3 linked regions of the Oryctolagus cuniculus genome follow. The protein of the gene in region 3 purifies or fractionates together with the protein of the main gene of each other region. This does not show direct contact. Links are inferred from orthologs where the notes say so. Each region holds a gene or a part of one and is shown on either strand. Other genes may lie near its edges.

Region 1 (3,646 bases), on a different chromosome or scaffold from region 3:
TTCTGCTACTTTCTCAGGTACATTATCAGGGAGCTGGATCTAAAGTGGAGCAGCTGGGACTTGAACTTGTGCCCATGTGGGATGCTGGCATTGCCGGTGGTAGCCCAACCTGCTGTGCCACAATGCTGGTCCCAGTAACTTTTTTTGAGGTCTGATGGAAGTATTTGTGTCCAACCACCATAGCAGCACTGACATGGGTAAGAGAAGCAATGACTTAGTTTCTAACTGGATTGTATTTTCTTTTCTTTGTTCTCAGTATAACCCTCAGTTTGGAGATGCATTTTGGAATAGCAGTAAATACAATATGGTGAGCTACCTGCTTCGAATGATGACCAGCTGGGCCATCGTCTGCGACGTGTGGTACATGCCTCCCATGACCAGAGAGGTATTCCTTAGATAAAAGCTGCTCTCTGCTTTATCTAGTCAAATAACGGCTAGAAAACCCTTTTTTGTGAAAAAGAAAAAAGAAAAGAAAAATTTATTTATTTTGAAAGAGTTACAGAGCGAGAGGGAGAGACAGAAATCTTCCATCTACTGGTTCATTCCCTAGATGGCAACACCTGCCAGCATTGGGCCAAGCTGAATCCAGGAGCCGGGAGTTTCATCCGGGTCTCCCACGTGGGTGGCAGGCCCAAACACTTGAGCTATCTTCTGCTTTTCCCAGGCCATTAGCAAGGAGCTGGATCAGAAGTGGAGCAGCAGAGACCCGTATGGGATGCCACTATTGCAGGTGACGGCTTTGCCTGCTATGTCCCAGCTCCAGCCCTGGCTAGAAAACGTTTATCTGAAAACTAGGTGGCTCCTTTAGCACATCATGCCTTTCTGCTTTTTCAGCAGGTAAGTCACTTTTTAAGAACGTAACTAAGCAGTCTTCAAATCAGGCCATTTTGTGTTCAGATTCTTTTCCATAATAGCTTCATAATTGCTGTAGGCTTATAGAACCTGCAGACAGTGTAGAATCATTGAATAAAACTGATAAAGAGTTGGGGCCAGCACGGTGGTGTAGCAGATAAAGACCTCGCCTGTGATGCTGGTGTCCTGTATGGGCACCAGTTTGAGTCCCAGCTACTCCGCTCCTGATCCAGCTCTCTGTTAATGGCCTGGGAAAGCAATGCACACATGTAGGAGACCCAGAAGAAGCTTCTGGCCCAGTCAACTGGGGAATAAATCAACAGATGGAATCTCTCTCTCTCTTTCTCTCTTTCTCTCTGTAATTCTGACTTTCAAATAAATAAATTAATCTTAAAAAAAACTAATACATAATGAATATGTGCACATGATAAATACAACAGTGAGTTTGCCTGATAGAACAGATATTTGCTATGATTGAGCTAAATGTGAATTTATATCTTCAGACAAACATGAATGATGACAAGTGAATCTTAAGTTATTATTTATACACTGTACACCCAGGATGAACTTGTAATTCTTGTTGTTTTTGATTAGGAAGGAGAAGATGCAGTTCAGTTTGCGAATAGGGTGAAGTCTGCTATTGCTGTACAAGGAGGGCTGACTGAACTACCCTGGTAAGAGATTTTTCAGAAGTACTATCACTTGTTGTTGTTTTTTTAATGAAAAATTTCCCACCATTAACAATGTCATCTGTTTTGCTATGAATTTAGCTGAATGTGACAATGTTTTATAGGAAACAACAGTGGCTTAAATAAGAAAGAAATTCTGTCTCACCCAAGCATTGACAGTTCAGGCTGGTATAGGTGCTGTTTTGCTGTGCCATTAATTTCTACAGTGAAAACTGTTTCTGAAATTCATTATGCTAACTAACAAAGCCTGGGAAGTTGAGGGGGCCCCCCCGAAAGGCTTCTAAAGCCTTGTAGTGGCACCCCCTGGAGGGTGGCCTTCTGATTGGGTGCTGGCTGACTGTGTGGGAGGTCGGGGGTACTGTGTGAGTTCTTGACTTAGGACATCTGTCTAGCCCTAATGTATACAATAAGACTAACATTGGTAAGCTGGGATACATTAAATCAAATGACAAGCCACATAACATCCTAAAATTACAAGCTTCCCTTAGCCTGCAAATGTCCTATTGATTCATTTTCCTACATGTAACTGGTTTCTTCTACCTGGTTAATTTTTTTTAAAGATTTTATTTATTTATTTGAGAGAGACAGTTGCAGATAGAGAGAGAGAGAGACAGAAAGAAAAGTCTTCTATTCACTGGTTCATCCCCAAATGGCCACAATGGCCAGAGCTAGGTCAGGTTGAAGGCAGGAACCTGGAACTCCATCTGGGCCTCCCAGATGGGTAACAGTGGCTCAAGCACTTGGAACATCTGCTGCTGCTTTTGCAGGTGCGTTATCAGGGAGCTGGAATGGAAGTGGAGCAGCTGAGACTCAAACCCTTACTCATATGGAGTGTCAGTGTCACAGGCAGCAGCTTAACCTGCTATACCACAGCCCTAGCTCCTTAGTTTCCCTTTTTTTTTAAAAAAAAAAAAAAGGAAAATCATCCCACTGCTTTTCTAGATGTATGTGTCATCTACCTGTTGGACATGAATTAGCATGGCTAGAAAGATTTTTTTAAAAAAATGATGAATTAATTGTTTGATCGTAAAGTGGCTCTTATATCTAAGTTCCTTAAGATCTGCTGCCAGTGCAAAGGGGTGTTGGGTAAAATGTTGACATCTGTGGGGGTGGCAAGGCACAGTTGGGGTGTTTAGACCAGCAAGAGGTTTGCTGAGTCCTTGGGAAGAACTGTACACAACTGGTGTCAAGATGCTCAAAGACAAAAGCAAAACGAAAGCTTCTAGCTTACGGTGTTCGCCTGCTCTTGACCTGGACTCAGGAAATGAGAAAGGCCTTTCTTGTCTCGCCCTCCCTTCCTTCCTTAGTTCTCAGTGTTCAGGATTCATGTCTGCGCAATCCATAGCTTGAAGTATCTCATTTGGATAAAAGAGGCTGGCGTGGGTAATTCCTGGGACCTGATGACAATTTGTGATCTTGTTTCATGAACTCTTCCCACAGCTGAGTCCCTGGATAATTTGTATCTACAGTCTTTTTTTTTTTTTTTAAAGATTTATGTATTTATTTATTTGAAAGGCAGTGTGTGTGTGTGTGTGTGAGAGAGAGAGAGAGAGAGAGAGAGCGAGAGAGAGAGAGAGAAAATCTCCCATCCTCCACTGGTTCACTCTCCAAATGACCACAGTGGCCAGAGCTATGCCAATATGAAGTCAGGAGCCAGGATCTTCTTCTTCTGGGGGCCTCCCACGTGGGTGCAGGGGACCAAGCACTTGGGCCATCTTTTACTGCTTTCCCAGGTGCATTAGCAGGGAACTGGATTGGAAGTAGAGCAGCCAGGACTTGAATGGTGTCCATATGGGATGCCAACGCTGCTTTACCCACTATGCCACAGTTTTAGCCTCAGTCTTTTTTTTTTTTCCTTTTCTTTTTATTTCTTCTACTGAGGGTTGTGCTGGGTCTGACTGTAGAAGACAGAACATTGTGTTGATCTCAGGCAGGCATCTGTATTGAGGTCAGGTTCTGTCCTTAGGGCACTGAGTTCACTGTGATCATTCATCATCATCAGAAAGGACTTGGTAAAAATTCACGCTGAACTGGGTTAAAATTAAACAGTCACAGTATAAGGTAAGCGTTCTCCTAGGAGTTACAATCTAAGGAGGGAGATAGTG
Region 2 (3,646 bases), on a different chromosome or scaffold from region 3:
ACACACACACACACACACACACCGTCTGTGACCCTGGATGCCGAATTTCCACTAACGCCCTCAGGGCAGCACTAAATGGTTCATGCCAACCACATTCTGGTGTCACTCGGCATCTCCAACACCTGGGCTGTCGGCCTCTAGGGGGCGCTATTCTGAATCTCTGAATCCTGTCTGACACCATTCCTTTTGTTTGATTCTTCCCATCCTTCCCTTCTTTAAAATTTCTTATTTAAAGGCCTACTCTTCCCTCTAGTGGATGACCGAGAAATTTCCTTTTCAGTAGGTTTTTCTTTCTTTTTAAGAAAACAGCCCATCTCAGGTCAACGCAACCTTTTCTGGATAGACCCAATCAGGACGAGAGGGGGCTCCTGGGGACCCCTTCTCCTTGGCACCCCCAGCTACCAACACTACTTAATAAGTGAAGGAATCAGCAAAAAATAAACTAATTTTGAGATTCTTTTAGAAGTACTTAAAGCAACTTGACAACATCAAGATAAAATGAAACCAGCAGTTCTGTACTGTATGCTTATCACGGGCAGGACTTAGCAACGGAGGGAACAATGAACTGCGCTGAAGTTAGATTTACTTGTAGGAAAGGACTACAAGTTCCTATTCTGTTTCTATTTAGACACACGAATTATTCATTTACCTACTTTAAGAACAAAACATCTTCAAGATAAAGCATGAGTTCTTCTAATCTTTCAAAATGGGTCGCCCAGATAGCGGCGAGGGCAGCCACGGGAGCGAGCGAGCGAGCAAGCGAGCACTGCCCTCCGCGACAGGCTTACTCACCATGTAGATGATGACAAACACCCGGGCCACGGGGTACCTCCGCAGGAAGATTCCCAGGCGGATGCTGTGGGAGAAGGGAGGGTTACACTCCACACGAAGCCTCCAACTGCGGGAAGTTCACCCACTCCCACTATCTGTGTGGCCTCCCCAGAACGATTTTTCTAGAATACTGTTAAATGGTGACTTCAAATAACCGCGTAGAAATGCCGGAGTGGTAGGCAAATCCTTGGCTCGTGACTGAGGCACCGTGGAGCTCAGAACTTGAGCACGAGGTGTTTCCCTTCATGCTCGGGCCACAACCACAAGGCACCTCTCTCAATCATTTTTCTTTCAGGAACTGAAGAAGTTGTGAGGGATAGGGTGGATGTTAAACACGTGAACGGGAGGGACAGTCCTGGCCGGCGCTGACGTGCGGACAGCTGACCTGCAAGCTTCCACGTGGCTATGAAGCTGCAGAAACTTGGGGAGGCTCGAGTGAGCACCTGGAGGAACAGCAGCTCGGGCAGACCCCGACCACGCCCTTCCGAGGTGGATAACTGTACAAGAAAATGCACCTTTCTACTGCTGCTTTCCCTGCCACGGACACGACGTCCTACACACAGGCTCTCCAACAATCGTGCCATACGCTGAACTAAATGATCCATTAAGAGGTGAGTAACACGGAGACAGTGGCTCTGGGAACCCAGGCTCGAGGCCTCAGGGGTCTGACTGTACGAGTCTAGGTGCTGATCACCAGTAAAAAAGATCACCATTATGTGGTAGTTCATTCAAACTGTGTTTAATTAAACACTAGAAAGAACAACTAGTAGAGTAGGTTATTTAAAACACGAACTTCATCAAGGCTATGGGTAAACTGTTAGAACATAACCTTGATAAGGCAAATTTTTGCTAGTTTAAAAACGTATATATAAAGGTAGATAACGTGTAAGCTGTTTATTTCTGTAGCATCTATAAAAGATACAGTAAAAGGAGAAGAGTCCAGTGACGCATGAGCACGGAGGCTCTGTTATTCCAACCCTGTGGCAGAGTGCTAGGCTAAAACACCCACAGGAGCGCTCTCACAGGAGGCGGAGGCTGTCCCGATGAAATTTACTGAGTTTGTTGCAGAAAGAACAGAAATGGCCGCGGTTAATCATCTTCAGTCAAACGCAGGCACTCGCGGAGCTCCTGAAGCCACCGCGTGACACTGACATATCATACACAGAGCAAGATGAATGTCACCCCACACACCAACACCTGCTGCAGGGCTCACACCACTGCAACCACGGGAAAACCTGTAAGAACAGCAGCCACCACCACTCCTCCGGCAGGCACTGCTTACCTAAACTGGTCGATGGAGCTGGCGGCTTTGCGAACTTTTCCATACATTCCTGCCAGGTTAGTCTCTGTGTCATTAAAAAGAACAGGAACATTTCGCAGACGTGTGCCTGTTTAAGTAAGAAAATAAATGAATGTACTGACACCAAAGTCAACTTTCTACAAAAGTGACGGCTGGAAATACACTCGGCCACAAGTGGAAGAAATTCTCACGGCCGACTTTCTAAGCACTGGCCCCAAAGATGAAGCCAGGTAACTCTGGTTAGACAAAATGTTTGAACTTCTATTTCTACAAAAATAAAACCTTAAAAATTAAGAAAACAATTTTAGCAAAAATGAAAGAGAGAACAAATGCCAGGTGTTGGTCAAGAGTCAGTGTCAACGGCCCTTCCATTGCCCTAACTGGACAGCAGCGGAGCCCTCCACGAGGTGGGGACCCCCAAAGCGCGCCTCCCACCCTGACTCCCTGCACGTTCCAGACTCATCTTTTTTTTTTTTTTTTTTTTTTGACAGGCAGAGTGGACAGTGAGAGAGAGAGACAAAGAGAAAGGTCTTCCTTTGCTGTTGGTTCACCCTCCAATGGCCGCCGTGGCCGGCGCACCGCGCTGATCCGAAGGCAGGAGCCAGGTGCTTCTCCTGGTCTCCCATGGGGTGCAGGGCCCAAGCACTTGAGCCATCCTCCACTGCACTCCCGGGCCACAGCAGAGAGCTGGCCTGGAAGAGGGGCAACTGGGACAGAATCCGGCGCCCCGACCGAGACTAGAACCTGGTGTGCTGGTGCTGCAAGGCGGAGGATTAGCCTAGTGAGCCGCAGCGCCGGCCCAGACTTATCTTCTTTTCAAGCACAAACCCTCTGTCTGTAGTTTGTCCCAGTCCCGTTCAGATGACACTCAGCTGAGGTTCCCTGTGCTGTCCGTTACCTTCGCCGCTGTCCACGCCAGGCATGTGGATGGAGGAGCCGCCGCTGGAGCTGCCCGGGGCCACGCTCATCTGCTGCTCCAGGCGCTCCAGCTGGAAGACCAGCGCGTTCTTCTCGGTGCTCAGGCTCTCCAGCATGGTCTGCTTCTGGATCAGGGTCTCCGTGAGCTGGCGGAGGCGGTTCTCCAACTCGGACTGGCTGCTGTGGCTCAGGGCTTTATTGGTGAGCTGCAAGGCCAAGTGTCCGTCCGATTATTGTAGAGGAGAGAAGCCGTGCTACACGGAAATCACATCACTGCACTCTCACAGGTCACTGTGGCATTCACTGATTTCTCTAACTCGGTAACGGTTCGTCCACTGTCCACAGAAGTGAGTTCAGACTGAACCCGTGAGTCACAAAACCAATTTGCTGGGCCAGAAGTCAGCTTTAAAACCAGAACAGAACGGGATTTTTTTTTTTTTTTTTTTTTTTTTTGGACAGGCAGAGTGGACAGTGAGAGAGAGACAGAAAGAATGGTCTTCCTTTTTTCGGTTGGTTCACCCTCCAATGGCCACTGAGGTCGGCGTACCACGCTGATCCGAAGCCAAGAGCCAGGTGCTTCTCCTGGTCTCCCATGTG
Region 3 (4,236 bases):
TAGTATTCAAACAAATACACATCTAAAATTATTTAATTAATCCTGACACAAGAGTAGTGCTGTAAGCTATAAAAATTGGATTTAAATCTAAAAATCCCTGCCATGGAACCTTGAGTGTTTTTCATGCATCAGACAATGCTGTAGATTTTTACTAATGTCATCTGCTCAGAAAGGACTTCAAACCTGCTCTGCATAGGAATGTATCAATATTTCCATGCATACATGTAGTAGTAAAGAATTAACATACTGTCCAAAAGAGATTGAGAAGTAAAAGTTTTTTGAGTTTTGGTAATCACCCAAGTCTTTCAGGTCCCTCACTCTAAGTCATGCTTTTTTGATTGTCTGGATCTAATCAAAGAGTTTAAAGGTTTAAAGGAATGTAAATTTATGTATTCATACACAATTTTCATTTTTTTTGATAGAAGAAGTATGTTTTCTAATGTGCATTCAGTAAAATTTGAACTGTGGTCATTGAGTAAGTTAACGATCATAAACATGGATTTTAGGTTTCAGTAACTATTTTTAGACATTTTAAATTTTCAATAACTGACAAGCAAGGCATCTCATGTGATTTTTGGGATCTCAAATACCTAAGGTATTCAATTCTGAAATTCTCTAGTATTTCTTATGTATTAGGTGACAAAGTATTAATCCCCTAGAACGTGTGTAAATATCTTTCTTAATTTCATTAAAATACATCTTGAGTTAACTATATTAGTAATTCTTGAATCGAGTTGCAATGTACAATTAGAAAAAGAAAAGCTGTCAACAAACGTTTAGGAGATAATCTCCCTTTAAAAGTATGCTAACTTCTGTTTTGCCTAATGAAGAGCGCATTGACGGTTTCACGTGGAGAGAAATAGTAAATTTCAACTTCAAGTTCGGTGGAATAATATATTTTATTCCAACAAATATGCATGGATCACTTATCATGCGGACAGGAGAGCAGCGACACAACAACACAATCGTCTGATGCTCAAATCCATCGAATTTAATATGACAGAAACATAGTCTCTAAGGAAAACTCAGTCCAGCACTAAGTATTTATTAAGTGCCTACAGCAAACCAAGCCCTGACAAAGTCTGTATCTCAGCCGCGTTCTTCAGCAATGAAACTGGGTGCGGTGAGCACAGAACAATTCCTCCCGAGCAAACACTCGGCCTCCAGCATCCCAGAAGAGCCAACGGGCACTGACAGGTAGAAAACGGACGAGGAGGCGCCACGCACAGCCCACGAAGCAAACCTGCCATCCATCCCACACTGCTTGGGTAGTGCGCGGCGACTAACACCGGCTCTACCTTTAAGAGCCGCGGGGAGAAAACCGCAGGACCCGAGGCTACAGTCGCAGCCTCATTTGCATAAGCACCCAAACACTGCTGACGTCACCGCGCCGAGTCGGGACCCCGCCCCGTTCTACTCCAGCCGCTCCCTGCGAGGCAGGAGGCTGCAAAGGGAAAGGGAGACGCTAGGGAGCGCGAGCCTGGAGCTCCGCGACCCTGCAGCGCACGGCACACGCCGCTGCTCTACTCCACGGGATGGCTTGCCCGCCCCTCGGCCGGTGCCCCTCGGTGGGTCACGTCTGCCTCCGGGATGCCTAGGCGTTGTGATGCATTTACCTTTCCAAAGCCAGTGCGCAAGTTCAGGCTGAGAAAGGATTTTCCCCCGTCTTTCCTGTATTCGCACGGACCAGACAAGGGAATGGAAGCTAGACACGATCTGGGTTTCCCATTCCTTCCCCATGCTCTCCTTAAAAATCCCAGTAGCGCCGCCCTCACCGCCCCGTTCTCCAATTCCAGGATGCGCAGAAACTCCCAAGCTGCGCGTTCCCCGGCAGCCACGTGCCTTGCGCGCAGCGAAGGGCCGGTGTTCATTCCTCGCATCCCGGGGAGCCTCCAGCGAAAGGGAGCCGGGGTCACGTGAAAACCCTCGCCTTCCGCAGTCGCCAAGGCTAGCAGAAGCGAATGGAGAGATGAGGCTGGCTTTCTCTCCCCGCCCCACCGCCCACCCGCTTGTGCATCGCCTTCCGATGCACCTCGGGAGCGCCTCTCTCCGCCCCGACCCTCCCAACTTTTCTCCTGGACTTCCTGGAGTTCAGACCCCACCCTTCCACGTCCTCTTTCACTCGGAAACCTGGAGGTCTCCGGGGACGCCGTGGGTCTTTTCCACCGCGGGAACGAAGGAAGGATGGCGGCACGTTTCGACCCATGTGCTTATGCACCCTCCCCACTCCCCATCGTGCACAGGTGCAGGACGCATAGCCCAGAGGGTCGCCCACAGAGCCCAGCCTCTCCCTCCCGTGGCCTCGGAGCCGCCTCCCCCCTCCCAGCCCAGGGAGGACCCAGGCTGAGTCCTTCCCTGGAGCCATCCATCAATGCTGCTCCTGGTCCCCAGCCCTCTGGCTCCGGGGCGGCTAACAGCGAGCCGCACCCCAAGCCTCACCGAGCCCCCTAGCAAAGGAGAGTGTCCTTACCGTGAGTGTGCCGTGACCCAGTGCCTCTCGCTGCTCCCACGTCCCGGCAGCAGCGACAGCAGCAGCAGCCGCCGCCAAAGGGTCGGGTCCAGGTATCTGAAGGAGGCCGCAAAGCAGTTGTGTGGAGAGGAGCGGCCGCTGGCCCAGGGCGGAACGGAGAAGCGGGGTTTCGGGAGGGTGGCTGCCCTGCGGGCTTGCTGGGGAGAGACTCGTGAGCCGCGGTGCGTCTGCTAGGGAACCAGCGCGGGAGGCAGGCGCGGAGCCGTGCGCGCGCCAGTGTGTGTGAGTGAGGGTGTGACGGAGGCACCCACGTGCCCGGCCCGCCCGACACGCTGCGGGCGGAGGGGGAGGCTGCGGGCGGCGGCGGCGGGGCGCACAGCAGGGCAGGGAGCGGGTCCGCCGGCTGCGCGCCGCCCATCCCCGCCCTGCTGCCACTTGACGCAGAAGCCACTGCGGCTGCCCTCCGCGTCCTCCCTGCGCCTGGGGCTGGGCCCGCGGGGTGCGGGGTGGGACCCAGGAAGCCCGCTGCAGAGCAGAACAAAACAAAGTCTCCCTGCCAGCCTGCCTTCCTCCAGCCCACACCACTCGAAGGATGGGCACCAGTTGCCGGTCCCCTCCCTGCTTTTGTCTGAACCAGCGTAACAATAGGAGTGGTCCTACCTCAAAGACTCTGGGTATTCTCAGAGAGTGGGTGACCCAAGAACTCGTCTCCCTGGCTTATTCCCTAGGCTGGCCGTTTACATATCTTGCCAAAGAAAAGCATCTTGGACATTTGCGTCTTGATCAAGAGGTGGCCCGATGGTGCTCAGCGATTCTGCCTAGCCCAGGAAAGTGTGCTTAGGGAGCTGCCGTCCACCCTGGGTTGTTCTCTGAGCGCCCACTCTTCCCCAAGGGCTCCCTTTGTAAGATGAAGCCTGACTCACCTCTGCTGACAGTGGAGGCATGCTCACAATTAAGCCACCTGGAGAACTCAAATACACCTCTCAGGAACACAAAGCCTAGCCTCTATCTGCAAATGGCTGAACTGCTCCTAACCTGAGCGTGTGCTGTGGGGATGAAGGTCTCTCTCTTTGAGAGTTTAAAAATTTGGGAGAAATACAATGGCCCTACAGCATATAGAAGAAAATTTCAGTGACTTTTTCTTCCAGATGATTGGTCATCCCATTAAAAAATACCTCAGTGCACTTTGCGGCCTTCCAACAATCTCTTAGATTTTGAGTCTGTATCCAATTAAGATTGAATTAAATAATAAGGCTTTAGCGGACAGGTTTTTCATGCAGTAAAAAAAAAAAAATCTCCTGGAAAGAAATCACAAGACCTAAATTTCAGGTCAGAACATTGGTGCTAATCCTTAGTTTTTAAAGCAGCCAAGAGAGCTTTGACTCAGCCTCTTTTCCATTTCTACCTTTTAAAAATTAAGAATTAAAAATAAGAGTGTATTCCTTCCATGGTTGGCCATCGCCTACCAAGGGAAATGAATGCTTTTTTGACAGATGAACCACAGCAAAAAGTAAAAAGTCACAATAAACCTCTTAGAGAACATCTTACATAATTTGCTTCTTACTTCACCTGTTGGTGGAAGGCAAATACTTATGTAGATTCACACCATTTAATTTATATTGAAATCAAAATGCAGTACAATTATCACCTATATAAACTGAGAGGGATTTAAGAAAATAGGTAAAGCCTTGACCTCCATCATCAGGGTTAGATTTGTCTTCAAGAAACCAAGTTATCCACACACTTGCTGGAATGATTCCACACAA

Evidence for each region. Proteins that work in one complex are often made in the same cells at the same time.
Region 1: the proteins of SLC6A15 (region 3) and GPAT3 purify together in Homo sapiens (co-immunoprecipitation; 3 studies listed by BioGRID and IntAct, counting the BioPlex papers as one, with this or other methods). This does not show direct contact. The link is inferred for Oryctolagus cuniculus from reciprocal best matches to the Homo sapiens genes SLC6A15 and GPAT3.
Region 2: the proteins of SLC6A15 (region 3) and GOLGA5 purify together in Homo sapiens (co-immunoprecipitation; 3 studies listed by BioGRID and IntAct, counting the BioPlex papers as one, with this or other methods). This does not show direct contact. The link is inferred for Oryctolagus cuniculus from reciprocal best matches to the Homo sapiens genes SLC6A15 and GOLGA5.

What each region holds. Positions count from the first base shown.
Region 1 is NC_091439.1:78,655,797-78,659,442, forward strand, and holds part of GPAT3 (glycerol-3-phosphate acyltransferase 3), read left to right. Parts: intron 1-256; coding exon 257-385; intron 386-1,446; coding exon 1,447-1,526; intron 1,527-3,646. UniProt on the Homo sapiens protein: Converts glycerol-3-phosphate to 1-acyl-sn-glycerol-3-phosphate (lysophosphatidic acid or LPA) by incorporating an acyl moiety at the sn-1 position of the glycerol backbone.
Region 2 is NC_091451.1:37,907,854-37,911,499, reverse strand, and holds part of GOLGA5 (golgin subfamily A member 5), read right to left. Parts: intron 3,256-3,646; coding exon 3,030-3,255; intron 2,220-3,029; coding exon 2,114-2,219; intron 857-2,113; coding exon 793-856; intron 1-792. UniProt on the Homo sapiens protein: Involved in maintaining Golgi structure. Stimulates the formation of Golgi stacks and ribbons. Involved in intra-Golgi retrograde transport.
Region 3 is NC_091442.1:87,730,284-87,734,519, forward strand, and holds the start of SLC6A15 (sodium-dependent neutral amino acid transporter B(0)AT2), read right to left. Parts: upstream 2,898-4,236; 5' UTR 2,471-2,897; intron 1-2,470.